Linked DNA regions of Stegostoma tigrinum. The protein of the gene in region 1 purifies or fractionates together with the protein of each later gene. This does not show direct contact. Links are inferred from orthologs where the notes say so. Each region holds a gene or a part of one and is shown in the gene's direction. Other genes may lie near its edges.

The links.
Region 2: the proteins of cdk14 (region 1) and ccny purify together in Homo sapiens (affinity purification with western blotting; 3 studies listed by BioGRID and IntAct, with this or other methods). This does not show direct contact. The link is inferred for Stegostoma tigrinum from reciprocal best matches to the Homo sapiens genes CDK14 and CCNY.

The regions. Positions count from the first base shown.
Region 1 is NC_081355.1:110,133,863-110,150,372, reverse strand, and holds the start of cdk14 (cyclin-dependent kinase 14), read left to right. Parts: upstream 1-7,491; 5' UTR 7,492-7,970; coding exon 7,971-8,061; intron 8,062-8,274; exon of another isoform or gene 8,275-8,345; intron 8,346-8,410; exon of another isoform or gene 8,411-8,491; intron 8,492-8,578; coding exon 8,579-8,610; intron 8,611-16,510. UniProt on the Homo sapiens protein: Serine/threonine-protein kinase involved in the control of the eukaryotic cell cycle, whose activity is controlled by an associated cyclin.
Region 2 is NC_081355.1:130,754,166-130,770,893, forward strand, and holds the start of ccny (cyclin-Y), read left to right. Parts: upstream 1-9,927; 5' UTR 9,928-10,567; coding exon 10,568-10,718; intron 10,719-12,412; coding exon of another isoform or gene 12,413-12,456; intron 12,457-13,036; coding exon of another isoform or gene 13,037-13,245; intron 13,246-15,424; coding exon of another isoform or gene 15,425-16,116; intron 16,117-16,728. UniProt on the Homo sapiens protein: Positive regulatory subunit of the cyclin-dependent kinases CDK14/PFTK1 and CDK16.

The DNA.
Region 1 (16,510 bases):
TGGGTGAGAGGGTGAACAGGCTAGGGAAGTGGAGACAGGCTGGGCTAGTTTTAGGATGCAGTGGGGTGAGGGAACAAGCTGGGCTGGTTTACTGATGCAGTGGGGGGAGGGGAAGAACTGGGCTGGTTTTGGGATGCACTGGGGGAAGGGGAAATTTTGAAGCTTGCGAAGCCCACATTGATTCCATTGGGCTTCAGGGTTCCCAAGTGGAATATGAATCGCTGTTCTTGCAACCTTCGGGTGGCATCATTGTGGCACTGCAGAATGCCCATGATGGACATGTCGTCTGAGGAATGGGAGGGGGAGTTGAAATGGTTCGCGACTGGGAGGTGCAGTTGTTTGTTGCGAACCGAGCGGAGGTGTTCTGCAAAGAGGTCCCCAAGCCTCAGCTTGGTTTGCCCAATGTAGAGGAAGCCACACCGGGTACAATGGATACAATATACCTCATTGGCAGATGTGCAGGTGAACATCTGCTTATTATGGAAGGTCATCGTGGGGCCTGGGATAGGGGTGAGGGAGGAGGTGTGGGGGCAAGTTTAGCACTTCCTGCGGTTGCAGGGGAAGGTGCCGGGTGTGGTGGGGTTGGAGGGGACCGTGGAGCGGACAAGGGATTTGCGGAGAGGGTGGTCTCTCCGGAAGGCAGACAAGGGTGGGGATGGAAAAATGTCTTGGGTGGTGGGGTCGGATTGTAGATGGCGGAAGTGTCGGAGGATGATGCGTTGTATCCGGAGGTTGGTGGGGTGGTATGTGAGAATGGCAGGGATCCTCTGGGGGCGGTTGTGGCAGGGGCTGGGTGTGAGGGATGTGTTGCGGGAAATGTGGGAGACGCAGTCAAGGGCGTTCTCGACCACTGCGGAGGTAAAGTTGCGGTCCTTGAAGAACTTGGACATCTGGGATGTGCGGGAGTGGAATGCCTCATCCTGGGAGCAGACGCGGCGGAGGCAGAGGAATTGGGAATAGGGGATGGAATTTTTGCAGGAGGGTGGGTGGGAGGAGGTGTATTCTAGGTAGCTGTGGGAGTCGGTGGGCTTGAAATGGACATCAGTTACAAGCTGGTTGCCTGAGATGGAGACTGAGAGGTCCAGGAAGGTGAGGGATGTGTTGGAGATGGCCCGGGTGAACTTGAGGTTGGGGTGGAAGGTGTTGGTGAAGTGGATGAACTGTTCGAGCTCCTCTGGGGAGCAAGAGGCAGCGCCGATACAGTTATCAATGAAGTGGGAGAAGCTTTTATGCCCCTGAGATGCTACTTGGCCTGCTGTATTCATCCAAATCCACTTTGGTATCTTGGATTCTCCAGCATCTGCAGTTCCCATTATCAAAGATAGCAAAACGTCTAGGTGCTGGAGTGCTTTTCTGTTGCCTCCTCCTCCGTGCTGTTTCCACCACCTCTGCACCTATTTCTTTGATCAGGCGTCTAACCCTCCCTCTAACAACCCATACTCCTGCTTCCAGTAAACCCCATCTTCTGGATACCAACCCACAGCCTCTTAACCTCCCTTGACGTCTTCATCTGAACTGCCGTTGTGAAATCAATTGTCTAATTCTCTCCACCCCTCCCACTCACTCCAACCTCCATCCCACAACAGAATGTGCAGCTCTCTGCTCCACCCCCACCCCCACCATCAAACCTGCAGCTAAGGAGGCACAGTGGTGGTAAGGTGTACTGACCTCTACATCTCCGAGGCCAGGCACCTACTCTCGGACACTTTCTTGTACTCTGCCCTCGACTGTGACCTCACCCCTGATCACCAAACCCTCATCTCCTGGACCATCAATAACCTCACTACTTCAGGAGACCTCCCACCCACAGCCTCCAACCTCATTGTTCCTCAACCCCGCAACACCCATTTCTACCTCCTTCCTAAAATCCACAGTCTCTGCCTGCTCCTGCCCTGCTGAATTTATCTCCACTTACCTCGACTCCATTTTATCCCTCCCCGCACCAGTCCAGGAACTCCCCATCTACAAAACTTTCAAATCTCCAGCCTCGAACACCTCATTTTCAACATGGATATCCATTATCTGCACTATTACCTCCCATGAGGAGGGCCTAAAAGCCCTTCGCTTCTTCCTCTCCTGCAGGCCTAACCTATTCCCCTCCACCGATACTCTCCTTTGCTGAACAGAACTTGTCCTTATCCTCAAAAAATTTTTCTTTAACTCCTCCCACTTCCTACGAACTAAAGGGGTAGCAACGGGCACTAGCATGGGTCTGATCTATGCCTGCCTCTTCGTAGCAGACCACCCCACCCACCTCCAAATCCAGCTCATCATCCTCCGCCATTTCTACCATCTGCAAACTAACCCCACCACCAAAGAGATGTTTCCCTCCGCACCACTTTCTGCCTTTCACAGGTGCGCTCTCTCCGCAGCTTTCTCATCTGCAACTCCCCACTAACCCCAAAACCTGTGGCTCTTTTCCCTGCAACCGCAGGAAGTGCGACTTCTGCCCCTATACCTCCCCCCTCACCTCCATCCAAGGCACCAAACAGTTATTCCAAATCTGACAGGATTCACCTATGTGTCCTCCAGCCTGGTCTACTGTATCTGTTGCTCCTGATGCGGTCTCCTCAACATCGGTGAGACAAAGCTGAAACTCATTGACCAACTCAGAAAGTACCTGCGCTGTGTACGCAATAATCAACAACACCTTCCAATTGCCATTTTAATTTGACCTCCCACTCCCTGGGTGACATGTCCATCCTGGGCCTCCTCCACTGTCACAATGATGCTACACATAAACTGGAGGAACAACATCTTATATTCTGGCCTCAGGAGCTTACAGCCCAATAGCCTCAACATAGAATTCACCAGTTTTGAAATCTCCTCAGCCCCGGCCTCATCCCTTGACTAACTCTCCCTCTCATCCTCGCCTCCTTAACCTGACACAACCAGTCTATCTTCTTTCTCGCCTTCCACCCAACCCTTCCCATGGCCTATCTCCACAACCTGCATCCATCTATCACCATCCCACCTCCCTTACCCTAGCCTCACTCCCTTCCTCCTCGCCAGTCCTGATGTAGGGTGTAAACCTGAAACATTGATTCTTCTGCTTCTCTGATGCTGCCAGACCTACTATGTTCCTCCAGTTCCACACTGTTTTGACTATATTCCCCCATTCTGCCTACTATTGTGGTAATTAGCCTTCACTATTTGAGTACTTTCGCTTGAGTAGTACTCTTATCCATAAGTAATTTTAAACCTACAGAATTATGGTCACTGTTCCCAAAATGCCCCTACGCTGAAACTTTGATCATGTGGCTTGGCTCACTCCTCAATACCAGGACTGGTACGGTTCTTTCCCCACTGGGACTGTTTCAAAAATCCTCCTTGATGCACCGAACAAATTTGTCCCAGTCAATATAAGGGAAGTTAAAATCACCCATCACAACTACCCTATTGTTTTCACATGTTTCCATAATCTGTCCACTTTATCCGTTCTACAAGTATGTGATAAATAAGAGGATGACTAGGGTAGGAATAGGGCCAGTCAAAGACCGAAGTGGGAAGTTGTGTGTGGACCCTGTGGAGATCAGAGAGGTGCTAAACAAATATTTCTCATCTTTTTCACTCAGAAAAGGGAGAATATTGTAGAGGAGAAGACTGAGTTATGGGTTACTAGAATTGAAAAGATTGAGGTTAGTAAGGAGGAGGTGTTATCAATTCTAGAAGGCATGAAGGTGGATAAGTCCCCTGGGCTGGATGGGATTTTTCCCAGGATTCTCTGGGAAGATAGGGAGGAGGTGGTGGAGCCTTTGGCCTTGATCTTTGAGTCTTCATTGTCTACAGGTTTAGTACCAGAGGACTGGAGGATTGCAAATGTTGTGCCCTTGTTCAAGAAGGGCAGTAGAGATGACCCAGGTAATTATAGACCAGTGAGCCTTACGTCTGTTGTAGGAAAAGTTTTGGAAAGGATTATAAGAGATAGGATTTATTATCATCTTGCATCAAGCAACAATTTGATTGGATATAGTCAGCACGGATTTGTCAAGGGCAGGTCGTGTCTCACAAACCTCATTGAGTTTTTTGAGAAGGTGACCAAGCATGTGGATGAGGGTAGGGCAGTTGACGTGGTGTACATGGACTTCAGTAAAGCCTTTGATAAGGTTCCACATGGTAGGCTACTGGAGAAAATACGGAGGCATGGGATTGAGGGAGATTTAGCAGTTTGGATAAGAAACTGGCTTTCTGTAAGAAGACAACGAGTGGTCGTTGATAGAAAATATTCAGCCTGGAGCCCAGTTAAGAGTGATGTGACTCAAGGATCTGTTTTGGGATCACTGCTATTTGTCATTTTTATAAATGACTTGGACGCAGGCATAGGTGGATTGGTTAGAAAGTTTGCAGATGACACTAAAGTTGGTAGAGTGGTGGACAGTGTGGAAGAATGTTGCAGGTTGAAGGGACACTTGGATAAACTGTAGAATTGGGCTGAAAGATGGAAAATGGAGTTTAATATGGATAAATATGAAGTGCTTCACTTTGGGAAGAATAACAGGAAGGCAGAATACCAGGTGAATGGAAAGATTCTTGGTAGTGTGGATGTGCAGAGGGATCTTGGTGTCCATGTACATAGATCCCTGAAAGTTGCCACCCAGGTTGATAGTGCTGTTAAGAAGGCTTACGGTGTGTTAGGTTTTATTGGTGGAGGGATTGAGTTCCAGTGCCGTGATGTCATGCTGCAACTGTACAAAATGCTAGAGCGGCCTCACTTGGAATATTGCATGCAGTTCTGGTCACCCCATTACAGGAAGGATGTGGAAGCATTGGAAAAGGTGCATAGGAGATTTACCAGGATGTTGCCTGGTCTGGAGTGAAGGCCTTATGAAGAAAGGCTGAGGGACTTGGGTCTGTTCTCATTGGAGAGAAGGTGGCTAATAGGGGATTTAGTAGAGACATACAAGATGATCAGAGGATTAGATAGGGTGGACAGTGAGAGTCTTTTTCCGAGGATGATGATGCCAGCTTGTACGAGGGGGCACAGCTGCAAATTGAGAGGTGACAGATTTAAGATAGATGTCAGAGGCACGTTCTTTACTCAGAGAGTGGTAAGGGCGTGGTACACCCTGCCTGCCAATGTAGTTTACTCAGCCACATTAGGGGCATTTAAACAGTCCTTGGATAAGCATATGGATGATGATGGGATAGTGTAGGGGGATGGGCTTACATTAGGTCACAGGTCGGCACAACATCGAGGGCTGAAGGGCCTGTTCTGCGTTGTATTGTTCCATGTTCCTGTATCACCCACTGGCTTTTGGGAAGCCTGTAGTATAAACCCATCCAAGTGACTGCACTCTTCCTATTCCTCAGCTCTACCTATATGGCATCACTGGATGGGCCCTCAAGATGGCCTCCCTCCATGCAGCTATGATATTGTCTTTTAGCAATAACATGACCTCTTTTAAATCCCTCTCTATCTCAGTGAGCCAGAGACCCAGGTTGAAGGCCTAGCTTTGGGTGGCATGGCAGCTCAGTGGCTAGCACTGCAGCCTCACAGCGCCAGGGACCCGGGGTCAATTCCCACCTTGGATGACTGACTGTGTGGAGTTTGCACATTCTCCCAGTGTCTGCGTAAGTTTCCTCTAGGTGCTCCGGTTTCCTCCCACAGTCCAAAGATGTGCAGGTTAGGTGGATTGGCTGTGCTAAATTGCCCAGGGTGTTCAGGAGTGTGTGGGTTATAGGCGGATGGGTCTGGGTGGGATGCTTCAAGGGGCAGTGTGGACTTGTTGGGCCAAAGGGCCTGTTTCCACACTGTAGGGAATCTAATCTAGCTGTTCCAGATTCATGTAATAACATCTTTGAACAGATTGGTAAGGAAATATATTGGGAGAAAAACAACATAAAGCCAAAGTTGTCTGTTTTATTTGAAATTCCTTTGAAGACTGAAATGTATACAAATAGTCATGATGTTCTCTGGAAACAAATGCAACTTAGAGACAGTCAACTATGTGGGGTCATAATGGTATAATTGTCGGGAAAATTTTGAATTGAAGCATGCCTGATGCAAATGCTCATACTTGGCTGGAAGTACATGTTGATAACAGCCCCAAAAAAACAGAAAGATTCTCTCTATAATGAAAACATTTTGAATTTTTAAAATTCAATTAATGACCTTGATAAATGACTACTAGTATGCCCTATTTATTGCAGATTTGATAATTAGCCTTTGTTTGTATAATTAAAGAAAACCTTATTAGCATTTTATCAAGAATGAAGAATCAGATAACAAAGGATGACAAGATTCCCCAGGATATAAAAGAATGTGCAGAATCCTGTCCTCATAGATACTTACAGATCGAGAACCTTATCCATGTCAACTGAAAAGCTTTGATGCTCCGTGGCCCACTTAACCACTTTATGATTGAATTACGATGTTGATGATGAAGTAATTTGCAGCCTGGAGGAAATGTTGCCCTTGTGAACTTTCCCCTAGTCTCCCCTGCCATCAGCTCTGTGATGGGGGGTGGGGGGTTGAGGGCCCAAAATAACAGAATGCAATTACTAAACATCCTCGTTACGTCTTCTTCGGTATACATTTATAAAAACAGTTTGAAGTTCGCCAACTTTGAATATTATCAATGTATCTCTTTCTAAGACGAATAAAACAGACACGGAAGTTACTAATTAAAAGTCAGACGAAACAAAATATCGCTGTCAGTATGCGGAGATATGCTTTCCCCAACATCCCCCTTGTAATTGAACAAAGAAACGTTAGCTGCGCACCTTATCAGTGAAAATGTGACCTGATGTAGCTACTGTGTTAAAACGAATAAACTTAAGTTAGGAATCGTTTGATTTGTTTTGAAACGTCAGATGAAATGCCCAAGGCGGAGGGCGGGCCAACTTGAAAGGAAACTAATAGAGTTAGCATGAGCAAGGAGGAAAAGTGTAGGAGCGTGTTTTCTTGCTATTTGTGTTTTCACAGCTACGAGGAGCATCAGCATCATTAGGTAAGCAGACAATTTAAATCTGTCCTATGTTAAGGATGTTATTACTGTGTCGTTACCAGGCTGGCTGCAGGCTACTTTCTGATAGCTGTAATTTTTAGTCAAGCACGAATGTCGATAGCCGTGATGTCATCAAGTTAATGAGATTGGGCCATTCCCTAATCCAAAATAAATAAATGGGAGATGATTTACAACCGAGTGCTTGGGTCTGGGAGGCTTTCTACACAGTTTATTCTGAACACAATTTTTAATTAAATTATAAACACTCCACATCTATTTTAAATAAATCGTTTCCAATTTAATTAGGTAGTAACCCCTATCGTTTTCAGCTGAACAATGTTTCTCCACTGTGCCAAATAGTTGAACCACAAAAAAATTGAGAGAAATATCTGGGTGGCAACCAACTCTTGGAGCCTGCATCCTCGAGGGGGCGGGCTGCAGAATGATTGACGTGCTGCCGGTCCATAGATTGGGAGAAGGGCTGCGGAAGAGAGCCAATCGAGAGAAAGGGGATGGGTTTTGGCGCACCGGAGTGCCTCCGACTTGTGGAGAAAATGACAGCCCAGCTTCGTGAGTCTGTGAGAGGCTGAAGTGCCTGTTCACTGTTGGCTCGGAGCTGACAGTGGTTATCACTCAAAGAGCAAACCTTCCTTTTCGCTCTTTCTTTCTCTCACCCCTCCCCTCCTCTCCCGCCTTGTTCGAAATTCAGACGAATTGATTCCAGCGCCGCTTATCTGGATGAAATACTTTGTCTTCGTGGCGTGCCAAGATTTCTCGAGAGAGAGAGAGGGAAAATCTCGAACTTGTTGGGAAAAAGAACGCCGAGAGGCTGTGAAACACTTCCTGTGTTTGACAGGAGGATGGAGGGAAGCCTTCAAACTTAAGCCCACTGCTTCGTCTCTCACTTGCTGCTATTTGTTTTAAAGAGGGAAGGGGAAACCCATTATTTTGATTTTCGACTCCCCATTCAGACCTTTACCGAGGACTCGGAGCGAGGCACCAGATTGGATCATTCTGCCGGAGATGTGTGACATGATTTCAGAGCAGTCGACTGAGAAAATCGGCAGAATGAAAAAGTTGAGAAGAACTTTGTCTGAAAGTTTCAGTCGTTTAGGTGAGTGTATTACTTACTGAAGTTTTTGATCTCTTAACTATTTGGTGAAATGTAGCCTTTAGTTTCGCTTTCTGGAAAGTGTGTTCATTCTTTCGGTTTTTAAAAATATGTCCATTGACTGTTAGTTTTTTTTCCTCCTCTCCCTTAAAGATGAACACTTTCACAGTGGTAAAGCTAGCTGGCGCAGTTATCACAGTGTTCTCTTCTGTGCGGTGCTAGCTTCATAAAACAAGCTGCTGATATACTCTACTACATAAGAAACCTCCCAATATTCTGAACCTTTTGTGCGTACTATAATCCGCAATACCGTTAATGAAATGGCTTGGGTTATTATAAAGACACTTAAGCGTAGAAGAATTCCTTCTAAAAAAAAATCAGAACGGAGGTTTTCTAAAAGCTCTGCTTTGCCCATGTGGGTAATGGGTATAAAGTGAGTGTAGGTACTTGGATTATTGGGAAGTTACACGCAAGCTAGGCATTAATTTACCGTATGTTTCTGTTTCTCTTTTTGTTTTAGCCTTGAAGAAAGACGACAATAACTTCGATGAGGTAAGATACACGGTTTAGCTAAATGTGTTAGGTACAGTATTTGCAGTGAAGTATTGAATAGAAGTTACTGTTTTCTTTTGGGACATTGTGTAAGACATTATCCTTTATCCTTGTGACCAGAATTCAAATCTAGATCAAACTCTTTTTGGCAGTCTGAAGCTATGTTAAGTGGATCCGTGGAGGATTTTATTTTGTTATTCAGCACCACCCCACGTTTTACTTTTTTGAGCATGTTGAATACAATACATTGTGATTCAGAAAATACATTCAAATTGACCAATGTAGTTCCTATTTTTTTTGTAGTATATTCAAGGAATTGGAAAGATTTAACATTTCTGGACTAGTCTGATTTGCAATTATAACATTGCTCTGGATTCTAAGACCTGTATTAGTGATGGTTTATAGAATCGCTTTTGTGGGTGAAACTAGGATTAACTGTGAGCTGATTGATATAAACAAGACATTTTTGAAGGCTAAATGGGAAACTGGGTATTTCCTGTGTGTACTGTAAGTGTCCAGCTGTCCATTCTGTCCTGGGAGTGCAAAGGGTTAAATTGATTCAACACTTCTGAAATAAAAGCTCTCTCTGTGTAGATGTTGTGCCACCAATCCTCATTCATTGAAAAGTTTTACGGTAGAGATATTGGGACTTCACCTGTCTACAAGAGAATTGTTACTGCAATGCCTTTGGACAGTGAAATGAACTTTGTAAATTATCAAAATATATCTAGATATATACTTCATCTCTTAAAATAAGATCGTCTTGTTTACTCAATGTGAATAAATATTGTAAAGAATCAACAATTTTCAATAGAATGTCCAGGAGAGAGCAAAAATATCCTTGAATAGGATGGAAGTTATGGCAACATTCCCTTATTTTTACCACTCCTAATTTCACAATGAAGGCACTTTCCCATAGAAAGGAAAGATTATACAGGATGGGGTTTAATTTGAATTTTTTTAATTGCATAAACATACTATGTTTGCATAATTTAATGAATTATGCAGTGCATCAACTGTAGATATGAGGATAGCATTAATGTATTCATGCCTTGTGAAGGCGGTTTATGGCACTCTCCCTTATGTTTATTTCTGGAATTTACTGACCACTGAGACCAGTTTCAAACATATTTATCTGTTCTGAGAACTTGGTGACTTTCTCCTGGATAAGGGTTAAAGAAGATACATAAACAGCATCTGTTTTGGCGTGATTACAGTCCTAGAGTGATGAGCTTGTCAGGAGATGCCTGGTATGCAGAATCAAAATCTGATACTGGATCCAGGCAGGTCTGTAGTACTCCAAGGTAATGATGATTGATCAGTAACCTTGGTCGGTTAATGGAACCTGTAAGGCTAGCTATGTTTCTTTTGAGGCAGAATTCTTTGTTCTCTGCTCTAGATAACCCTGAACCTTGATCTAAATAGATATCACTATTACTGATATTCATACAATTGGCAGCTCTTTTGGATTTCTCAATTTGTTTCATTCTGGTATTGTGCACATAAACAAAAAAAATTGTTTTGGTTTTGTTTTCTTTAAAATATATAGGTGGTTATTCAGGGCAGCATTGTTAGGATAATTTCTGCCAATCTGAAATAATAATGACCCCATTCACTTGTGATATAATTCAAACTGGTTTGAGATGCAAAAACTGTACAACGCTTAATTTGTAATGTTCCTTTTTAACAAGGAATTTTTATTGCTGCTCTATTAGCAGATGTTTCACATTACAAATGATCAAACTCATTCAAATATCACCTACTTTATCATGTGTCAATTAAATTCAAATTTGAATTTGACTGACTTCTATTATGACACTTAAAAACTTAAAATTTTGAAGTTACCTTCTTGGCTTAAAAAAATGCTGCCCTGAAAAGGTTTTTTAGCATTCTGCTGCAAATCCACAAAAATTCATTGAACGAAGTGCTTTTCTGTCAATCTAAATTTGTCATTATATGACAATGGAATGTTGCATCAGCTGTTTCTTTTTACAGTTTCTTCAGCTTATAATTGTGAAATAACTCAATGTTTAATCTCTTTTGTGTTTTTAAGAAATATTGGGTAAGCTCAGTTGATTTTTCACTCCATATTTTACTGGACACATTGAGAGTAGGTATGGTATGTCACATTTTTTTAAAAAAAGAAGTTACTTTCTTTACAAACTTTTTAAACAGCAATCACCTGCCCCATCATCTGTCCACTCATTCAAATAATTAGTTTTTGCAGAATCGGTATGAAGCAAGCAATGTTTCAAAGCTTGTGCAATATTTGGAGGTAATAGCCAGCATTACATACAGATTAGCAATGATTCCTTCCTTTGTTCTAACAAAGCCGTGAGTTGTGGCTCCTTTTTTTTTTCCGGTAAGCGGACCTGAGAGAAATAATGTGATTTATAATAATCGGTATTTCAGATCTGTACATTCTTAGTTCACATGACAGATGATCTGTGATGCACTCGAGGAAAAGAAACTTCAAAACAAAGCTGTTCTTGGTTTAGTACGTGGAAAAATATGCAAATCTGGACAGCATGAAAAATGTACCCACTCCTCAGTCTTGTATTTGGTGACTATAGCAACTTCCCACTGAAAATGACTGTTAGAAACACAATTGTTGGAGGGGGTGGGGTGGTAAATCCTGCTTTTAATGTAGCTATAATGGTATGTTAACATTGAATGCAGCATGAAGAAATTCACCTATTGGTGTTTTTGCCCACATGTCCAGTGTTGGAGTGCAGAATATTTGGCTGTAGAATTTGAATTCTGTACCTCTTTTTTTTTGTGTTCATTGCCTCCATAGTGAATGTATGTTTTTTAAAACAAAAAATTGTAGTCATTTTAACATTTGGTAGTGTTATTTTTTTAAAATAAAAGGCCCATGCCAACAGTACCTCTCGGTGCTGTGAAGAGCTTACCAATACTGTGGTTTCAAGTTCTCTTGATCTTGAATATGCTTTGGAAAAGATGAGTGACCTATTTAAAACTTCAGGCATTCTTTGGATTAGTGTGCTGTATTTAGTTTTGTATTGATGGTTGTGGAAGAGTCTTTAAATGGGTTTCGCGGTATAGAATGATGCTTTGGATGGAATACTTGTATGGTTTCTGTCAATTAAGGGTTATTAGTACATGGAGGACATTGCAGTTAAAGTCTTTAATAGACTGGAAAGCAATTGGTATAATGAAGGAAGTTATTAATCATATGTTAAAAATAAAATCATGACAGCTACAATAGTGTTCCACTTATTTTTCAATAATCTCTACTTTATCGCTTGTTCTGCAATACTGTGATATAATCAAAATATTCTATGAACAACAGTTTTGTCCGTTCCACAGAGGCCCACTGAAACGTGTTTTGAACACTCTCTCTCTAGGTATGTTTCTTCTCTAAAATCATGGTAGAAACTCCAGCTCTGAAGTGGAGATTCCCATGAGTCTGAAATGAGTTGCTATGTAGCAGCATTGGAAAAATTGTGTGTGCTGTGCAATATATGGGTCACAAAAAGATTTTAAAAAGTTGCTCAAGAGAATTTGCTATTAGTTACTTTGATAATACAGAATTTAAGCATTTCTGGGGGGAGGCAGGAAAACAAACAATAAACACCCATGCTACCAATGGCTTTATCTTGCACTCATAAGGAGAGATGCAAGAATGCCATATTTCAAAAAGCAAAAATTTATACTCTGTGAGGAGGGTGCTGAGTAGCTAGTTAAGCTTGGTTATACGTGTTGCCATAAAGAACAGTTACTTGGGCCAATTTTGGAATTAAATGAAAAGTCTTGATCTGTTTTCCCCTTGCAGAGGATGGGTCCTGCCATATAAAGGCATGCAATATTCTGGTGAGCAGAAATGAACCGTATTGTGCATCCTTACAATCATTAGCTAACTAAGATGGATAAGGATTGGCTCAAACTAGAATAAAAGGTGTGCAATGCTATGATGACTTGATAGTAGGCCAAACATTTGAGAAAGTTTTTGAAATGTAATGAGGGGAAAGAATTGGAGCATGATGAGAAAGGTAGGAAAATATTTAAAGTTGGACAGGAATAACTGTTTAAAAATGTACAAACAGGTAAATGGCTTTGGAGGGTGAGACTGGAGAGGGTAGGAAACAAAGACAGGACAGAAGATTTGAACAAGTGTTTTGTATCAGTGTTCATGGCAGAAGATGTAAAAATCGTCCTAAGGTTGGTATTAAAAGAAGAGGGGTGGGGGGGTGCGTGGTTGGTGAACCTAAATACAACGGGGAGAATGAAATGGAAATTCCAGTTGTATTTAAGGCTGAAAAACCAGATGGCTTGCAGTCTAGAGTCTTAGAAGTAACTGCAGGCTACTAGATGCATTTTGAATATAATCCTGCAAGATTCCCTAAGTTGTGCAAAGATCAGAGTGGATTGGAAAACTGCAAATGTGGCAACTCCACTCAAGACAGGAGGAGGTGGCAAGCAGGAAACTGTGCCATAATGAACTTGATATCTGATCAGAGAGCATTTATTGTTTCAAGGTATGGGCAGGTCAGGATTTTTAGATAATCCCTGTACAATCAAGCACAGTTAGTACATTGTTTCTTTTTATCATTTTTTTTTTGAGGATGTAAAAAGTAGGTGGCTAAGGGGAAACTAGTAAATGTAGATGGAATCTTGCTCAGCCAGTGAGAGCTGTGCTGTCTTTTTCAGGGAAGGCCATTTGAATCCAATGCCAGTCAGACACTGGCAAGGCCAATAGTGGGCCTTCAGTTGGAAAACAGACCTCGCGGATGGAAGTCCTGCCCAGTGATAGAGGTTGCTGTCCTTAAGCTGGCGAGATGGGAAGGTCAACCATCAACACTCCTGTCCTAGGTGCTTTATTCTGGTGGAGTTGGGAAAATGACAAAAATGTGGGTGCGGTACCATCCTGCCCAAATAAGTGCCCTTTCTGCCTTCAAGCTCTCCATTTACAGAAGCAAAAGATCACACTTGTAATGAATTTTCATGGCCAACTTAAAGATCTTTAGGAAATGTAAAGAGTCTATACACATACAATATACTTGTTTACTATATTGTATCAAATATTATATGTTGGGAACCAACTAACAGGAAAAGGAGTTGGCTAAATGGATCCCTTGAATTGAAGACCAACTAATGGGGTGTCATAGTGCTATGTGCTGAGGCCTCAACTATTTAAGATCAATATTAATGACTAGAATAAAAGGATCAACAGTTTTATTCAAATTTAACTGATATGATAATGGGCAGGAAAACCAAGTGTGGGGTCCAGAGCATCTGCAAAGGATAGATAAAATGAGTGGGCAAATATTTGGCAGACTGTGGGAAATATGAAGTTGTCCACTTTTGACTGTAGAAAAGCAGAATATTTATTCAAATAGAGGCTGCAGAGGACTTGGGTGCCCTTTGTATGTGAAGCACAATAGGTCAGAATATAGAGAAAGCAAGTAATTAGGCAAATGAAATGGTGACCTTGATTGCAAGAGGTTAGAGTGTAAAAGTAGAAAAGTCTTTTGTTACGTCTGTGCACAGGGCACTGGTGAGACCACATCTGGACACATGGTATGTCATTTTAAGGTGGGAATTACTTTCATTGTAAGCAGTTCAGAGCTTCCTTTTGGAAAAGGAAATTATCATGTAATTAAAGGTTGGGTGGTTTGAGCCTAAGTCAGTGGAGTTTAGAAAAAACATGAGGATAATATTACTGAAATACTTTAAATCTTAAAAGCCTTGACACGATAATTGCTGAAATGTTTTCCCTTTTTGGGGGAATCTAGAACTAGGGTGTATATCTTCCAAATAACAAACTGTCTAATGTAGGAGTACTAAGAAGAATTTATTTCCTAAGGGCCATTGGTGTTTGGAATTCACTACCTTTGTGAGCAGTGTGGGCTGAATCATTGGAGTAGATACAAGGCTGAGTTTGACACTTGTAGTTGACAAAGAAGTCCAGGTTTATTGGGGGTTGACTTTAGTAGAAACAAAGTAGAGTTAAAGATCCATTCAAATAAACCATGTTTTTTTTTGGCTGACTGTAAATGTGAGCCTCTGACGGCTCTTCCTTCATGTTCTTTTATCAAGATGATTAAGAAAAGTACAAACTTCATTTTAAAAAAAATTGTTGACTACTATAAAAGTAGCTTTTGATAGCTTAGAACAATCATCACCCTCTTTTTCTTACTTACAATAAGAGGTGATTTTAATTTTGATACAAATTCTCATTCTGGTAGAAACTTTAACTGTCAGTTTCAAATGCTACATTTTTGTTCTGCATTGTTTTCTTGTTCCTGGGTATCTTGATTTTAACAGCTTCGAGACAAATACCATTTGTACATCTCTTTTGGGTCTAGTTTGATATGCCTCACTAATTCAGGACTCACACTACAAACTCTTAAGTTCTGCTTAAAACAGATTTAAACAGGTAGAGCTTCATTTTGGGAACAAATCATCTCTTCAGAATGATGTGTGACAATACAATGGCTTTGAAACATGCATTTTATCCTGGGTTTGTTTTTAACATATGAAAAGTTGTGACAGATTCTGAGCAGTCTGCTCCAAAGCCAATAACTTTTCAAGCTGGAACAATAGAAGCAGCCTGAATGGGTAGGGTCAAGCTCACGCAGAATCAGGATTTGTAGTTTGTTTTCAGCAGTTGCTGGAGTCTTGAAACCTGGATGTGAAAGCTCTGATTTCTCTCTGTCACAACTAAAAGCTGGGGGTCTCTTCCTGCTATTAGAATTACAAGTGAGACAATCTATATTACTGAATTTGTCTGTGCCAAGCATGTGGTTTATGAAATGTTTCTGTATTATTCAAGTGTAACTGTTCTAATTAATCCATTATTCATTGTTAAGTTGTTTTTCCAATAGCTGTCATTTTTTCTTTTATTTTAACAAGTTATAAATAAAGCATATTTTGCTTCCAGACTTGTAGCTTGACCAATCCAATTGCATTTGGAATGCAACACCTAGTACTCAGCTTTCTCTGTTTTTTTTTTAAGAGGTAGTTTCCAGGCTATCCTAACATATTCTGAGGGGGTTGGTCTGGTCCATAACACACACTGCAGTTGTTTCAACAATACTGACTGATCAAAAGTTTGCTGGAAATATTAAGTGAACTTCCAAGTTTGATAAATGTCCAGTCACCCTGACAAAGGCACTTTGAAAACAGGAAGTAGCTGTTCCTTTCTTTAGATACTGGCAAACCAAACTGTCTCCTAAAAGGAGTTAAGCTTATTCTAATAAAGAATCATTAGATAAAAATTCTTAATTGCAGACTAGTGCGTTTTCCAGTGGAAATTCAGAGCAATGCTTTGCCATTTTGTTTGCTACTTTGACCCTTTGTTTAAATGGATCAGCACTTGATGATTGGCCCTCTTCTGGTCTTATTCAAATAATGCTCAGCATGAAGCTACAGCAATATCTATCAATATCCAATGTTTCAATAGAAGTTGCTGTCTTAAACATATGAAGAAATTAGTCTTTTTGGAGTATTATCTGGTAGGCTTTGAAACACTTGCCATGCTGCTCACTTTCAACGATTTTACAATATTCTTTTTGTTATTTGTAGTCATTGCATTATGTTCTCTTTATTCTTTACTCTTACCTCTACATGTCTTTGTGCACTGTCCCTTACCCCCACTTAAACCTCTTTCAAAATCCTTGGCATTTTAAATCTGTCAATACTTCCACCTCCTGACCAAGTCATTTGACTCCTGCCATTTACTTTGTCCACCACACTCTCCTCCAAAAAAGCAACTGTTCTTTAGAGACACATAACTGACCCCAGTTATGGTGTTGCTTTTTTTTTACATTTGTAACTGTCATCAAATGTTACTTTTGTCCTATGTAGTTGACTTTATTTTTCCTCTGCAGAATGCATTGTCGTTGGAAAGTAGCCAACCTCAATCCTGCAAAAGAGA
Region 2 (16,728 bases), about 21 Mb from region 1:
CAGCTAAGTAAGCTCACAACTAATCGAACAGATCTAAGCTCTGCAGTCCTGCCACATCCAGTTGTGAATGGTGGTGGATAAATAAACAACTCAGTGAAGGAGGAGGCTCCGCAAATATCCCCGTCTTCATTGATGGAAGAGCCCAACAGTTCAGGGACTAAGATAAGTCTGAAACATTTGTGGCAATGTGTACAATCCATCTCAGCTTCCTCCAGTGGTTCCCAGCATCACAAACACTAGTCTTCGGCCAATTCAATTCACTGCACATGATATCAAGAAACTGGATGCTTTGCACTGAATACTGCAAAGGGTCTAGAACTTGGTGCTACCCCAACCCAGCTGTTCTAGTAGAGTTACAATAACGTCTGCCCGACGAGTGGAAAATTGCTCAGGTATGCCCTATACATGAAAAGCAGGACAAATCCAATTGCACCATCAGCCTAATAAAGTAATGGAAGATCTCATCAACAGTGCTGTCAAGCTGCGTCTCTTCAGCGATGCCCAGTTTGAGATTTGTCAGGACCACTCAGCTTCTGATGTTATTACAGCCTTGGTTCAAATATAGATAAAAGAGCTGAATTCCGGAGGTGAAGTGAGAGTGACAGCCCTTGACATCAAGGCCACATTTGACTAAGTGCGTCGTCAGGGAATACTAACAAAACTGGAATCAATGGGCATCAGATATTGGAGTCATGCCTGGTACACAGGAAGATGGTTGCAGCTGTTGGATGTCAATTATCTCAACTCCAGGGCATCTCTGCAGGAGTTCCTCAGGTAGTGACCTAGGCCCAACCATCTTCAGCTGCTTCATCAATGGCCTTCCCTCCATCATAAGGTCAGAAGTGGGAATGTGCCAATGACTGCACTATGTTCAGCACCATTTGTGATGCCTCAGATACTGAAGCAATCCATATTCAAATGCAACAAGATCTGGGCAATATTAGGGTAGGGCTGACAAGCAGCTAGTAACTGCCTCTAGTCATTCAATGGTGTTACCATCACTGAAATGACCACTATCAACATCCTTGGGTTTACCATTGACCAGAAACTCAACTGGACTCACCACAAAAACACAATGGCTGCAACTGCAGGTCAGAGGCTAGGAATACTGCACCTCCTGACTTGCCAAAGGCTATCTTACAAGGCTGAAGTCAGGAGTGTGATAGAATACTCCCACTTGCATTATGGGTACAGCCTGAACAACACACAAGATGCTTGACACCATCCAGGACATAGCAGCCCATTTAATTGGCACCACATCTACAAGCATCCAACCCCTCCACCACTGACACTCAGTAGCGGCAGTGTGCATTGCCTACAAGATGCACTGCAGAAATTCACCAAAGATTCTTAGACAGCACTATCCAAACACATGACCACTGCCATCTAGATGGAGAACGACAGGAGATACACAGAAAAACCACCATTTGCAATTCCCCTCCAAGTCACTCACCATCCTGACTTGGAAATATATTGCTGCTTTTTCAGTATCACTGGGTCAAAGTCCTGGAATTCTCTCCCTCAGGGCATTGTGGGTAAATCTACAGCACACAGACAGCAACAGTTCAAGAAGGCAGCTCACTATCATCTTCTCAAGGGCAACGAGGGAGGGGCAAGAAATGTTGCCAAACAGCGAGGCCCATGTCCCATGAATGAATTTTTAAAATGCCAAATGATGCCATTAAAAGGGTCGTTTCCTAAGAAGAGACATGTATCAACCCTGTTTGAAGGACCTGGCAATAAATAGAGGTTCCTCCTTTATGCCTTCGCCAAAAGCAATTAGTCCAGGTCCTCAGATTTGACAAGAGCCCTGTCACTACCACTAAGTACTACTTAGACGGTACAAGTTTAAAATGGAACTCAATATTTTCATCAACATCTCTTGCCCCCTTAATGCTGCTTAAGTGACTACAACTGCACCTGACTTTACATCTTCTAACTAATTTAAACATTTACATTCTGCGTTAAATGCAAATTTGACATTTTTTTTAAGAAGTTGATAAATATAACAGTATACCAACCCAATAATAATGAGGAGAATATATTCCAGTAATAATACATATGTCCTATAAACTACCTGTTGCTGAGGCAAGTATGGATTTCATCTTCTTTATCCCAATGAGAACTGGAATTATGTGCCCCAGCATAATTTGAGTAAGACAGTGGGACAGGCACATCATCTTTTGATATTTTGGTCAAGGTTTTCACCATGTACATTTGCTGAAGTTGTCCATTTTAACTTGATATATTATTAATAAGCCCGATACCTACAGCAACTAACAGTTAGCACACAGCTTCCTGGCTGTCGTGCTCCTGTTAGTGATGCCTTGCTAAAGAGATTGCTTTCTGCGATAGTGTTCAGATAATTTGACAATTGGTGTCCTGTCCTGAATAATCTTTGCCACTCTCTCTGATACTGCAGCTCCCCGTGGAGTTGTTAGCACTGGACACATAATCATGACATGTCATCAATTAATACTATTTCTGAGTGCTGACACCCAAGTGTATGGTGGGTTTTTGATACTTTCCCCTTCCTCTGCAGCAGCACTCTCATCTAGGACAACTGATAGTTATTCTTCACTGCTGCTGTAGACTTTTGGAGTCTACACATCCTGAAATTGGAAGGTTAAATTTGCGCATTACGGAGATTCTGAGTGCACTCTTACTAAAGAAGGTGTCATTGGAATTTAAAATTTGAGTTGTCTGAGAAACAAAAAGCAACTCATTTCTGCTACTTTCTGTAGATTCTGCCCTTCAGATTATGGGAACTTTTTAAACAAATACTTTCTGGGTCTGTATACCCATTAAAGGCTGTCTTTAGTCACTCTCTCAGTCTAAAATTAAATCTTCTGTTTGATGACTCTTTACTCTCTGCTCTTTTTTCTCCAACAGTTAACATTACATGGTGTTTCTTTTCAATGTCATGTCCAGATTTGCTGAACATATTGTTTTCAAGCTCTTGTCTTGTGGTTGTTTCAAATACAAATACATAGTTTGTGTCACTTTGCTGCACTTAGTCCACTCCTCCTGTGTCTGGATTGTTATGGTTTTTATTGTAAAGGCAAGTGATGAGACAGAACCCCTTGTCTGTTATTTGGGCACTGGGCCATGTGCCCATTTAAGTCCTGCCAACTGATTGTAACGGTTTAAGGTTGGATAGGGTTAGGGTACAGACCAGAGACAGAGACCAGCCTGACAAATCAACTACCGACCTTGGCAGTCATGCTAGACTCTGCAACAGTTTGTTCCTAATATAGTTCGTACAATGCAACAGATTAAAGTGCCCTTGCCAAAATATGTAGGAATGGTGGTATAGGCCAGACATTTCTAGCTAAATGCCCTAAGATAAGGGGGTTCAAATGATTTTAAATTAAGTTTAAACATTTTATAAATAAAAAATGTGGTCTCACGAAACTTTTCAATATTTAAAATATTAAAATTTCAGTTTCTACCCAATGAAATATGGACACTGTTTTCCATAAATATAATCTCTACTGAAGTGGAATGGATCAAGTTCGAGTTATATCTGATTAGAGATTTTTAACTTACAGTTTTAGAATTGTATATTTGTGCACCCATCACAAGCCAACCTAATTATCCACAGTTGGGCACAGATATGACAGATACAGTTTAATACTGAGGAGGAGGATGTATGTTTTGACTTGAAGAATGAAGAGAATCAATATAAACTAAAACTTACAATTTCAAAGGGGGTTCATGAATAAAGAATTGAAGATGCAAATATATAAATCTTAAAAGATTGTAAAACAAGTTGAGAAGGCTGTTAAAGAAAATTGCACTATAAACAGAAGCATAAAGTTTTAAAGCAAGAAAGTTAAACTAAACAGTTATAATTCACTGATTAGACACCAACTTCCAAATCTGGGCACTGTGTTTCAGTGAAGTTGTTGAAACCTTGGACAGTGTGCAGAGGAGCTAATGTAGAATATACTAATAGTGAAGGAAATCAGTAATGGAGTGACCAGAGAAGGTGGGGTTGTTCGCTTCACAGCAGAGAGTGATTTAATGGAAGTGCTCAAAATAATTAAGAATGCTGCTAGAATAATTAACTAGAAACTGTTTTCAGCAGTATATAAGTTAAAAACCAGAAGACATGGATTTAACAGAATTGCCAAAAGAAACAGAGGTGAGATGAAGAGTTTTTTTTTCAATGTGGTGTTTATAATGGTCTGGGTTGCAATTCCTGAAGAGATGGTGGAAGTAGATTTAATATTCAAAAGGGCATTGGAAAAGTATCTAAAGGGGGAACATTGTAGAACTAATGGGGAAAAGGTAGGTGGGGGGGATTATTTGACAGCTCTTTCGAAGATTTTCCAAGACACAATTTGTATGATTCTATGATTCCATGACTCAACATATTTCACTTATGGGCATTATAGATTTTCTTTACATTCAAAATATATTTGAGTTCTTGGAATTATTTTCTTAGGACACAATCAACAGAATTTAATGAAGACTCTGGGAGCAGGAAACATGGTGGGTGGGCTGAAATAATCAGGCTGGCGTAGAAATAACACAGTGTGGAGCTGGAGGAACACAGCAGGCCAGGCAGCATCAGAGGTGCAGGTACGTTTAAGGTTTTGGCGTAGAACTCGACTCCATATACATTCCACTATGAAGGAAAACCGGAAGTGAGGCAATCCAGCTCAATGGACTCCAGAGTTTAAAAACCAGGCGGGAAAACACACCGATGCTTCATCGGAGGCTGCGCTGATGATATTACCCAGCACAGTAATGAAATGTCTGTGAAATAACAAACCAGCTCAGTGAGCCAACCAACCTCAACAGCAGGAATAATTGTATTAGAGATAATGGGAACTGCAGATTCTGGAGAATCCAAGATAATAAAGTGTGAAGCTGGATGAACACAGCAGGCTAAGCAGCATCTCAGGAGCACAAAAGCTGATGTTTGGGGCTTAGACCCTCCATCAGAGAGGCCTGAAACGTCAGCTTTTGTACTCCTGAGATGCTGCTTGGCCTGCTGTGTTCATCCAGCTTCACACTTTATTATCAACAGCGGGAATGTTGACATTTCGGTTGGGACACGTCAATTTTCCTGCTCCACTGATGCTGCCTGACCTGCTGTGTTCCTCTAGCTCCATACTGTGTTATCTCTGACTTCAGCATCAGCAGTTCTTACTATCTCAGGCTGGAGTAGAAATTTTGGATTCACAATGGTGGGATAAGAATGAAAAATTAAGCCGGTCGTTTGGGCCTTCATGATCATATAATTGGATGCAGTGAATACTAATTAATACTGAATAAAAGAGACATGCTGTTACATCTTCCAATTGCTCACAGTGTATCAGACAGACTCATAATCAGGCGATCACTTTTAGTCCTGAAAAGTGTCTGGTCTAACTCAAACATTACTGGAGAAGGTAAAGGTGTCTCAAAATTTGAACAATGGGTGAAGTTAGCGGTTTCTTGATGTTACTATGCAGGAGCAGCATACGTGGTACTCTCCAGTAACAGGATTCTGCTGTAGAATCAAAAAGACAACAGCTTCAGAGTCAGCATGAGGTCCTCCAAGTGTCTGGGGCCTCAGTTGTGGCAGTCCCCCTTCATTGCTGGAAGACCTTTGAACTGCATTCATGAGAATGTGACCACGGATCTAAATGTGATGCCCTCTGTGACTTGGCTGGGTGTAACTGAGCAAGTGGAGGGTGCAGCTTACATAGGTGACAGTGGTCAATGAATGCCCTTGTACCCAGATGTGGAATCTTCAGTCTTCAGTGGCAAAGGCGTGGATTGTGTAAACTATAAAGGAGAATCAAAAGAAATAGGTAAAGGTTAATAGAGTCTATGAGCATAGCATAATTCTGCATGTGGTCCTCAGCCAACATCAGATTGGATCCATTATTACTCCTCGTAATTGTCGGTCCAACCTCGCCATCAGCTGAGTGTGGCTTCCCTGTTCCCCAGCAAGCTATATGGCTGAGTGAGGACTGTAAGATTATGCCCTATTTCACTCGGTTTTGCCTTTCCCTTTTGATTATCGATCTGCTCATCCTGCGGGGGGAAAAGGATCTTTACAAATGCAGACTGTCCCCCTTGTCTGCACATAGACCCATCAAGTATACTGGCCTGTTGATGTTCGGTCAATATCAGTTGCTCACTCGAGCAAAGTGGTCACATGTTTTGGCACCAAGGGCCATGTAGCCCAGAGACTCACTTCGAGTTCAGATACCTAGCCTTGCTGTATAAAAAGTACCCATATGACAGATCATCCCAGGCTACTGTTATATTTAACATAAAAACAGTAAACTCAACAGGTCTGGCAGCATCTGTGGAAAGGGGTAAAATTTCAGATCAATTGAATCTTCCTTGGAACACTATTACATTGAGCCTGATTTTGGGGGGACAATTAAAGAAGGAGCCTTTTGCAGCACTGCTTCATGATTTGGTTGTCCCCACAGTTGCTAATCTGCTCTGTGTTTTCTGTCCAGGCTGCCTTTGTCAGGCAGAAAAGTCTCCTGTCTTCATAATTTGGGAAGAGAGGCTCCCATTGGTCCCTAATGGCCTGGAGGAGAATTTGCAAGGAGGCATTACTGTTCTAACATCTTTAATTATGGTTGTAAAGAGCCTAGAGGATGTAGTCATCGTGGGGGGAAGGAGGGTGTTTACTGGGTTATCCCAGGAGAATAACGTTTTAATTAAGGGGGGAATGGTATCTGATTGAGTGAGACTGAGATTGAGAAGATTTACAAAAACCAAAAGATCAAAAATGCAGAATGAACAGAAGTGGAGGTGGAAACTAAGGCCCTGATGTTTTCTAATTGCCCTTGGAGCCTCTTTTATGAACCATACAGAACTGTCACTGGCAATGGGAAATTCCGACCCCTCCACACAATTACACCTATTTCACATGCTTGCCACCTAACATTCCTAAGCTGTCATCTGAATCATGGGCTCTCAACACAAAAGCAGAAGGGGTGACCCTTCTGAAGCCATTGCTGGGAATAGCACATTAGTGACTGGGTTCCGCCAGTGATACCTCAAACAACTTTGTGTTCAGTCTTGACAAGAATGCATTCAGGTCAAGGGCTCACAATTGGAAGTGAAGCATGCCACACCATCTTTGGATTACGTTCTTTGACAGAGTGCCAAGAATGCAACAATTTCAATCTGAGTGAATTGCTGAGTATAATTGAACCTGCTGTGGCCCTGGTTTTGTGAAACTGGCAGTCGGTAAAGTTTCAATTAGTCCATTGTGAGATACCATACACAGCAAATTCCCATTTAGTAAACAGAATTTGACTTTATAAGCATTGCAAATTCTCCATCACTTAGATTTATTTTAGGGGAAGGAAATGGGTAAAATTCATCCTTATTCTGCCATGTTTCCTGTCAGATCTTAATTTGTTTGAGAAAATAACACTTATCCAAGTTACTCTCCAATGGTAGGACTTTTTTTTCCCACAATTTCACCCTTCAGATTAAGCCTCCAGCTTCAGTATTTTATTCCAATCTGCTAATATATAGTAAAATATAACCACTACTTGCTGAAGGATGAAGTTTAACAATTCTTTTCTGGCTATAATGGTCACCACTGACACAGACAGCTTCCTGTATTATATAAATATTGCTGTATAATGATGATGTAAAGATCATCACCATGGTTGACCATGCACAATAATTTCATTTAATAATTGTAAGATCATAGATGATATTCTGGAAAACTAAAGAAAACTGATAGAATTTTTGCTTTCAAAGTGGACATTGCTTGTTGCACCTTCCCTTACTGAAAGCGGTTATGCATTACAATGACCAAAATTGGTTTGTATCATTCATTAAGATAACTGTTTTTAACTATCTTCTTTCTTGTATTAACATCATTGTTTGAGGTGTTTCTGGATTTTAACATGAAGCTTTACATATTAGAGCTTTTAGTCCTGCGTAGATAAATTTAAAACTCTTTCACATTACCACAAAACAGGCCATTCCTACGGCAAGAAGTGAATCTGGGAATGCTCTCTCAACATCGGATGGAAAGGATCATCTAGGTTTACTCAACCTTTTTATATTATTTTATCAGGTGTGGGGATTGCTGACAAGGTCAGCACTAATTGGTTTCTATTTGCTCTGAAGCTCATTCCTTTAAATGTGTTGACAAGGCTGGCTAAATTTCCACTCAGTCTGGTACCTCCCGTAGATGGCGCAACTGAGATTTGACACATGACTCAGAACGTTCTGTTTGTCCAAAAAAAAATTTACTCTGCCTCATTAGATGGCCATAAGACGATAAGACATAGGAGTGGAAGTACGGCCATTCGGCCCATCGAGTCCACTCCACCATTTAATCATGGCTGATGGGCATTTCAACTCTACTTACCCTCACTCTCCCCGTAGCCCTTAATTTCTTGCGAGATCAAGAAATTATCAATCTCTGCCTTGAAGACATTTAACGTCCCGGCCTCCACTGCGCTCTGTGGCGATGAATTCCACAGGCCCACCACTCTCTGGCTGAAGAAATGTCTCCTCATTTCCGTTCCAAATTTACCTCCTCTAATTCTAGGGCTGTGCCCACGGGTCCTAGTCTCCCCGCCTAATGGAAACAACCCCACAGCGTCCACCCTTTCTAAGCCATACATTATCTTGTAAGTTTCTATTAGATCGCCCCTCAACCTTCTAAACTCTAATGAATACAATTCCAGGATCCTCAGCCATTCATTGTATGTTAGGCCTACCTTTCCAGGGATCATCCATGTGAATCTCTGCTGGACACGCTCCAGTGCCAAATCTTATTCAGGATGATGGGAAAAGAAGTCACTGGAGCATATTCCTGGACAGGGTCCCATTCTGGCACACACTATGGGAAACATGTGAAGGCACTGGAGAAAGTGCAGAAAGGATTCATGAGATTGGTACCAGGGATGAGGTACATAAGTAGATTGTTGAGTTTAGGACTACGGGGAAAAGAGAAGGTTGAGAGGAGTTGTAGAGTCATAGATTCATACAGTACAGAAACAGATCCATTGGTCCAACTCACTCACGCCAACCAGACATCGCATCTAACACAGTACCATTTGCCAGCATTTGGCCCATTTCCCTCTAAACCCCTCCTATTTTATACGCATCTAGATGCCTTTTGAATGTTGCAATTGTACCTGTCTCACAAGGCATACAAAACTATGAGAGGTCTGGACTGAGTGGATACAGCAAACTGTTCTCATCGATGCTAGTGATAATAACGACAGGGCACAGACTTGAAGTGATTGGCAAAAGAAGCAACAGGAAAATTAGGAAAAATTTCATGGAGCAAGTGAGTGGGACCTTGGTTACACTGCCTGACAGTGTGGCAGAGACAGGTTCAATCAGGGCAATTAACGAGGAATTGCTTATTAACTGAAAGGGAAGAATGTGCAAGGTGACGGGGAGAAGATAGGGAAATAGCAGACAGGCAGATGTAAAGAGCTGAAAAGCCTCCTTCTGTTTTGCAATCATTCCAAGACTCAGAAGGTATCATATTCAGTACTTGATTCAGGTGGCAGCTGAGGGGCTGCATCTCCCCATTCAGGCAGGGAGTGTAAAAATGCAGCTTTGATGGAAAGTGCACCTGTGAAGACATGGAACTGTTTAGGTGTGCTGTGGCCGAACAGACGCTAACACTCATTTATTCAGATGGATAAATAAAAAGGAGTTTGCATACATTAAAAAAAGAGCTGCTGGGCTCTGATGTGGAATCTCAGGTTGGTGTTTACAGGAGAGGCGGGAGAAATTGTACCGAGAAACACAATTTAACATTTGCATTGCGTGAAAAAAAAGTTGAATTAAAGCTGACGGAGCATTCCCCATCCACGCATGCACTGTCTTGAATTTTGCAGCCCTCTCTGTCCGTACATCCGAAAATGCTGTGGGGGGTGGTTTTACTGCAGTCACCCCGTCGGCGGCTGTAATCTATCGCCTCGGCTGGTGGCTGTGTATCACTTTGTATTCACCGGCAAATCGCTACCCTTGAACCGGAACTCCTCGTGCGGATTGGTTACACTGTACTGTTGTTACTGTGTGTGTGTGTCTGTGCTGGGGGTTAAGTCACCATTTCAGACTCGAACACACACAGCAACAATGATGCGAGGCTCCACCTGAAGCTTGTGGTGTGCGTGTGTGTTTTTGTTGCCATTACCATCTTGGAGGACGTTCAAACCGTGAAGGGCTTGACTTTCATAGTGTCAGCGAGGAAGAAGGAAGAAAGCAGTAATAATGGCTTAGAGTGGACGTTGAAGGAGATGGAGAGGGAAATCAGCTGCTGAGCTTTGAGCAGATCTCCCCTCTGGTCCGTCAGTCTCGGGAGAGAGGGGGAAAACTCGCCTGTCCTTTTCAATGGCTGTGCAGTGCTAATTCTGGCCGGATGAGGGTGTTTCTCTGATCGGACACTGATTTTTTTGCCCTCTCTCTCTCCTTGTTTTAAATATCTGTAATATATTTCATCTCTCGTGTGTTCTCTGTGCAAAATCCTACTTCCTTTGGCACCACCTGAATCCGACCGTTCATTCGATCAAGGAAAAAAAAACATTAATCATACTCTGAGAGAGGGAGAGAGAAAATGGGGAATACCACTTCCTGCTGTGTCTCATCCAGCCCCAAGTTGCGGAGGAACCACGCTCGGCTGGAGACTTACCGCACCGACACCGACATCAGCCGGGAGGACACGGGCTGTAACCTACAGCACATCAGCGACAGGGAGGCGGTGGACGGTATGTGCCCGATGTTGTTGATCTCCCTCCTTCTATACCCGCTCCTCCCCCTTTCCACCCCATCTCCCCCTCCCGCCAACACCATCCTCTCTCCTCACCCCACTCCCATCATCCCCTCCCCTCTCCATCACCCCCTTCACCCCCTCCCCTCTCCATCACCCCCTTCACCCCCTCCCCTCTCCATCACCCCCATCATCCCCTCCCCTCTCCATCACCCCCTTCACCCCCTCCCCTCTCCATCACCCCCTTCACCCCCTCCCCTCTCCATCACCCCCATCATCCCCTCCCCTCTCCATCACCCCCTTCACCAACCCCCCCTTCATCACACCCGTTCCCCACCCCCTCCCTTCATTGCCCCCTCCCTCCAACCCCATCCCCCTCTCCCTCCGTCCTCCCTTCATCCCGCCACACCTCCTCATCCCCATCCCTTCATCAACCCATCCTCCTTTCATCCCCCATACCTTGTCCCCTCCCTTCCCCCAATCCCTTTGTCCCTCCACCCATCGATCCCCCTTCCCCTCATTCCCCCCCATCCCCCATTCCCCCCCATCCCCCATTCCCCCCCATCCCCCATTCCCCCTCATTCCCCCCCATCCCCCATTCCCCCTTCACCCCACCTCCATCCCCCTTCCCTTCACCCAACTTCGTTCCCCCATCCCCCCTCACTTCGTTCTCCCGCGCCCCCGCTTCGTCTCTATCCCTACTCCCTTTGCCCCCATCCCCACTCCCTTTGCCCCCATCCCCACTCCCTTTGCCCCCATCCCCACTCCCTTTTCCCCCATCCCCACTCCCTTTTCCCCCATCCCCACTCCCTTTGCCTGTCCCCCCTCCTTTCGCCCACCCCCTCGTCCCCCCCACCCCCACGTCCCCCCCACCCCCACATCCCCCCCACGTCCCCCCCACCCACCCCCACCCACCCCCACCGTCCCCCGCGTCCCCCACGTCCCCCACGTCCGCCTCGTCCCCCCCCACCCCCTCGTCCCCCCCCCACCCCCTCGTCCCCCCCCACCCCCTCGTCCCCCCCCCCACCCCCTCGTGCCCCCACCCACCCCCCACCCCCCACCCCCACCCCCACCCCCACCCCCACCCCTTCATTCACCCCCACCCCTTCATTCACCCCCACCCCCACCCCCACCCCCACCCCCACCCCCACCCCCACCCCCACCCCCACCCCTTCATTCACCCCCACCCCTTCATTCACCCCCACCCCCATTCCTTCAATCTCCCCCACCCCCATTCCTTCAATCTCCCCCATCCCCATTCCTTCATTCCCCCATCCCCATTCCTTCAAATATTCCCCATGCCCATCCGCATCCCTTTGCCTTCCCCCTCCCTTTGTACCCCATCCCCCACACCTTCGTCCCCCCCACCCCACCCCCACGTCTCCCCCCCCACGTCTCCCCCCCCACGTCTCCCCCCCACGTCTCCCCCCCCCACGTCCCCCCCCGCCCCCACGTCCCCCCCCGCCCCCACGTCCCCCCCCCGCCCCCACGTCCCCCCCCCGCCCCCACGTCCCCCCCCCGCCCCCACGTCCCCCCCCCGCCCCCACGTCCCCCACCCGCCCCCACGTCCCCCCACCCGCCCCCACGTCCCCCCACCCGCCCCCACGTCCCCCACCCGCCCCCACGTCCCCCACCCGCCCCCACGTCCCCCACCCGCCCCCACGTCCCCCACCCGCCCCCACGTCCCCCCCCCGCCCCCACGTCCCCCCCCCGCCCCCACGTCCCCCCCCGCCCCCCACGTCCCCCCCCCGCCCCCACGTCCCCCCTGCCCCCACGTCCCCCCCCGCCCCCACGTCCCCCCTGCCCCCATCCCGTTGTTCCCCCCTACCCCCTCCCCTTTGTTCCCCCCCACCCCCTTTGTTCCCCCCCACCCCCCACCCCCCACCCCCTTTGTTCCCCCCCACCCCCACCCCCCACCCCCCACCCCCTTTGTTCCCCCCCACACCCATCCCCACGCCCCACCCCCTTTGTTCCCCCCCACACCCATCCCCATTCCTTCATTCCCCCATCCCCATTCCTTCATTCCCCCATCCCCATTCCTTCATTCCCCCATCCCCATCCCTTTGCCTTACCCCCCTCCCTTCGTACCCCCCTCCCCCTCCCCCCGTACACCCCTCCCCCTCCCCCGTACACACCTCCCCCCTCCCCCCGTACACACCTCCCCCGCACACCCCTCCCCCCTTCGTACCCCCCCCTTCGTACCCCCCCTTCGTACCCCCACCCCCCCCTTCGTACCCCCACCCCCCCCCTTCGTACCCCCATCCCCCCTCCCTTCTTCCCCCCATCCCCCCTCCTTCTTCCCCCCCTCCCCCCCCTCCCTTCTTCCCCCCCTCCCCCCCCTCCCTCCCCCCCCCCTCTTCCCCCCCTCCCCCCCCTCCCTCCCCCCCCCCCTCCCCCCCCCCCCCCCCCCCCCCCCCCCTCCCCCCCCCCCCCCCTCCCCCCCCCTCCCCCCCCCCCCCCACCCCCCCCCTCCCCCCCCCCCCCCTCCCCCCCCCTCCCTCCCCCCCCTCCCCCCCCCCTCCCCCCCCTCCCTCCCCCCCCCTCCCCCCCCTCCCTCCCCCCCCCCCCTCCCCCCCCCCTCCCCCCCCTCCCTCCCCCCCCCTCCCCCCCCCCTCCCTCCCCCCCCTCCCCCCCCTCCCCCCCCCTCCCTCCCCCCCCTCCCCCCCCCTCCCTCCCCCCCCTCCCCCCCCCTCCCTCCCTCCCTCCCTCCCCCTCCCTCCCCCTCCCTCCCTCCCTCCCTCCCCCTCCCTCCCTCCCTCCCCTCCCTCCCTCCCTCCCTCCCTCCCTCCCTCCCCTCCCTCCCCCCCTCCCTCCTCCCCCCTCCCTCCCTCCCTCCCTCCCCCTCCCTCCCTCCCTCCCTCCCTCCCTCTCCTCCCTCCCTCCCCCTCCCTCCCTCCCTCCCCCTCCCTCCCTCTCCCTCCCTCCCTCCCCCTCCTCCCTCCTCCCTCCCCCTCCCTCCCTCCCTCCCTCCCTCCCCCTCCCTCCCTCCCTCCCTCCCCCTCCCTCCCTCCCTCCCTCCCTCCCTCCCTCCCTCCCTCCCCCTCCCTCCCTCCTCCCTCCCCCTCCCCCCCCCTCCCCCTCCCTCCCCCTCCCCCCCCCTCCCTCCCTCCCCCTCCCCCCCCCTCCCTCCCTCCCCCCTCCCTCCCTCCCCCTCCCCCCCTCCCTCCCTCCCCCTCCCCCCCTCGCCCCCCTCCCCCCCTCCCCCCCTCCCCCCCTCCCCCCCTCGCCCCCTCGCCCCCCTCCCACCCTCCCCCCCTCGCCCCCCTCCCTCCCTTCTTCCCCCCCCTCCCTCCCTCCCCCCCTCCCTCCCTCCCCCTCCCCCCCTCCCTCCCTCCCCCTCCCTCCCTCCCCCTCCCCCCTCGCCCCCCTCGCCCCCCTCCCACCCTCCCCCCCTCGCCCCCCTCCCACCCTCCCCCCCTCCCCCCCCTCCCTCCCTTCTTCCCCCCCCTCCCTCCCTCCCCCCCTCCCTCCCTCCCCCTCCTCCCTCCCTCCCCCTCCCCCCCTCCCTCCCTCCCCCTCCCCCCTCCCTCCCTCCCCCTCCCCCCCTCGCCCCCCTCCCCCCCTCGCCCCCTCGCCCCCTCGCCCCCTCGCCCCCCTCCCACCCTCCCCCCCTCCCCCCCCTCCCTCCTTCTTCCCCCCCCTCCCTCCTTCTTCCCCCCCCTCCCTCCCTTCTTCCCCCCCCCTCCCTCCCTTCTTCCCCCCCCTCCCTCCCTTCTTCCCCCCCCTCCCTCCCTTCTTCCCCCCCCCCTCCCTCCCTTCTTCCCCCCCCCTCCCTCCCTTCTTCCCCCCCCCTCCCTCCCTTCTTCCCCCCCCCTCCCTCCCTTCTTCCCCCCCCCTCCCTCCCTCCTTCCCCCCCCTCCCTCCCTCCTTCCTCCCTCCCTCCCCCCCCTCCCTCCCTCCTCCCCCGCCTCCCTCCCCCCCTCCTCCCCCTCCCTCCCCCTCCCTCCCCCTCCCTCCCTCCCTCCCCCCCTCCCTCCCTCCCTCCCTCCCTCCCTCCCTCCCTCCCTCCCTCCCTTCTTCCCCCCCTCCCTCCCTCCCTTCTTCCCCCCCTCCCTCCCTCCCTTCTTCCCCCCCTCCCTCCCTCCCTTCTTCCCCCCTCCCTCCCTCCCTTCTTCCCCCCTCCCTCCCTCCCTTCTTCCCCCCCTCCCTCCCCCCTCCCTCCCTCCCTCCCTCCTTCCCCCCCTCCCTCCCTCCCTCCTTCTTCCCCCCCCCTCCCTCCTTCCCCCCCCCTCCCTCCTTCCCCCCCCCCCCTCCTTCCCCCCCCCTCCCTCCCTCCCCCCCCCCTCCCACCCTCCTCCCCCCTCCCTCCCTCCCTCCCCTCCCTCCCTCCCTCCCTCCCCCCCCTCCCTCCCTCCCTCCCCCCCTCCCTCCCTCCCTCCCCCCCCTCCTTCCCACCCTCCCCCCCCTCCTTCCCTCCCTCCCCCCCCTCCTTCCCTCCCTCCCCCCCCCTCCTTCCCTCCCTCCCCCCTCCTTCCCTCCCTCCCCCTCCCTTCTTCCCCCGCTCCCCCCTCCCTCTTCCCCGCTCCCCCCTCCCTCTTCCCCCGCTCCCCCCCCCCTCCCCCCTCCCCTCCCCCCCCTTCCCCCCCCACCCCCCCTTCCCCCTCCCCCCCCCTTCCCCCCCCCCTTCCCCCCCCTTCCCCCCCCTTCCCCCCTTCCCCCCCCCCTTCCCCCCCCTCCCCCCCTCCCCCCCCATCCCCCCCCCCACCCCCCCCCCCCCTCCCCCCCCTCCCCCCCCTCCCCCCCCCTCCCCCCCTCCCCCCCCCCCCCCCCCCCCCCCCCTCCCCCCCCTCCCCCCCTCCCCCTCCCCCCCCTTCCCCCCCCCACCCCCCCCTTCCCCTCCCCCCCCTTCCCCCCCCTTCCCCCTCCCCCCCCTTCCCCCCCCCTTCCCCCCCCCTTCCCCCCCCTTCCCCCCCCCTTCCCCCTCCCCCCCCCCCCTTCCCCCTCCCCCCCCCCCTTCCCCCTCCCCCCCTTCCCCCTCCCCCCCCCTCCCCCTCCCCCCCCCTCCCCCCTTCCCCCTCCCCCCCCTTCCCCCCCTTCCCCCCCTTCCCCCCCTTCCCCCTCCCCCCCCTTCCTCCCCCCCTTCCCCCTCCCCCCTTCCCCCTCCCCCCCCTTCCCCCTCCTCCCCCCCCCCCTTCCCCTCCTCCCCCCTTCCCCCCTTCCCCCTCCCCCCCCTTCCCCCTCCCCCCCCTTCCCCCTCCCCCCCTCCCCCCCTTCCCCCTCCCCCCCCCCCCCTTCCCCCTCCCCCCTTCCCCTCCCCCCCCCCCCCTTCCCCCTCCCCCCCCCTTCCCCTCCCCCCCCCTTCCCCCTCCCCCCCCCTTCCCCCTCCCCCCCCCTTCCCCCTCCCTCCCCCCCCCTTCCCCCTCCCCCCCCCTTCCCCTCCCCCCCCTTCCCCCTCCCCCCCCTTCCCCCTCCCCCCCTTCCCCCTCCCCCCCCTTCCCCCTCCCCTCTTCCCCCTCCCCTCCCCCCCCTTCCCCCTCCCCTCTTCCCCCTCCCCCCTCCCCTCTTCCCCTCCCCCCTCCCCTCTTCCCCCTCCCCCCTCCCCTCTTCCCCCTCCCTCTTCCCCCTCCCATCTTCCCCCCCATCCCCCCTCCCATCTTCCCCCCCATCCCCCCTCCCATCTTCCCCCCCATCCCCCCTCCCATCTTCCCCCCCATCCCCCCTCCCATCTTCCCCCCCATCCCCCCTCCCATCTTCCCCCCTCCCATCTTCCCCCCCTCCCATCTTCCCCCCCTCCCATCTTCCCCCCCACCCCCCCCATCCCCCCTCCCCCCCATCCCCCCCCCATCTCCCATCCCCCCTCCCGTCCCCCCTCCCGTCCCCCCTCCCGTCCCCCCCCCCGTCCCCCCCCCCGTCCCCCCTCCCATCCCCCCCCCCATCCCCCCTCCCATCCCCCCCCCCCATCCCCCCTCCCATCCCCCCCCCCATCCCCCCTCCCATCTTCCCCCCCATCCCCCCTCCCATCTTCCCCCCATCCCCCCTCCCATCTTCCCCCCCATTCCCCTTCCCCC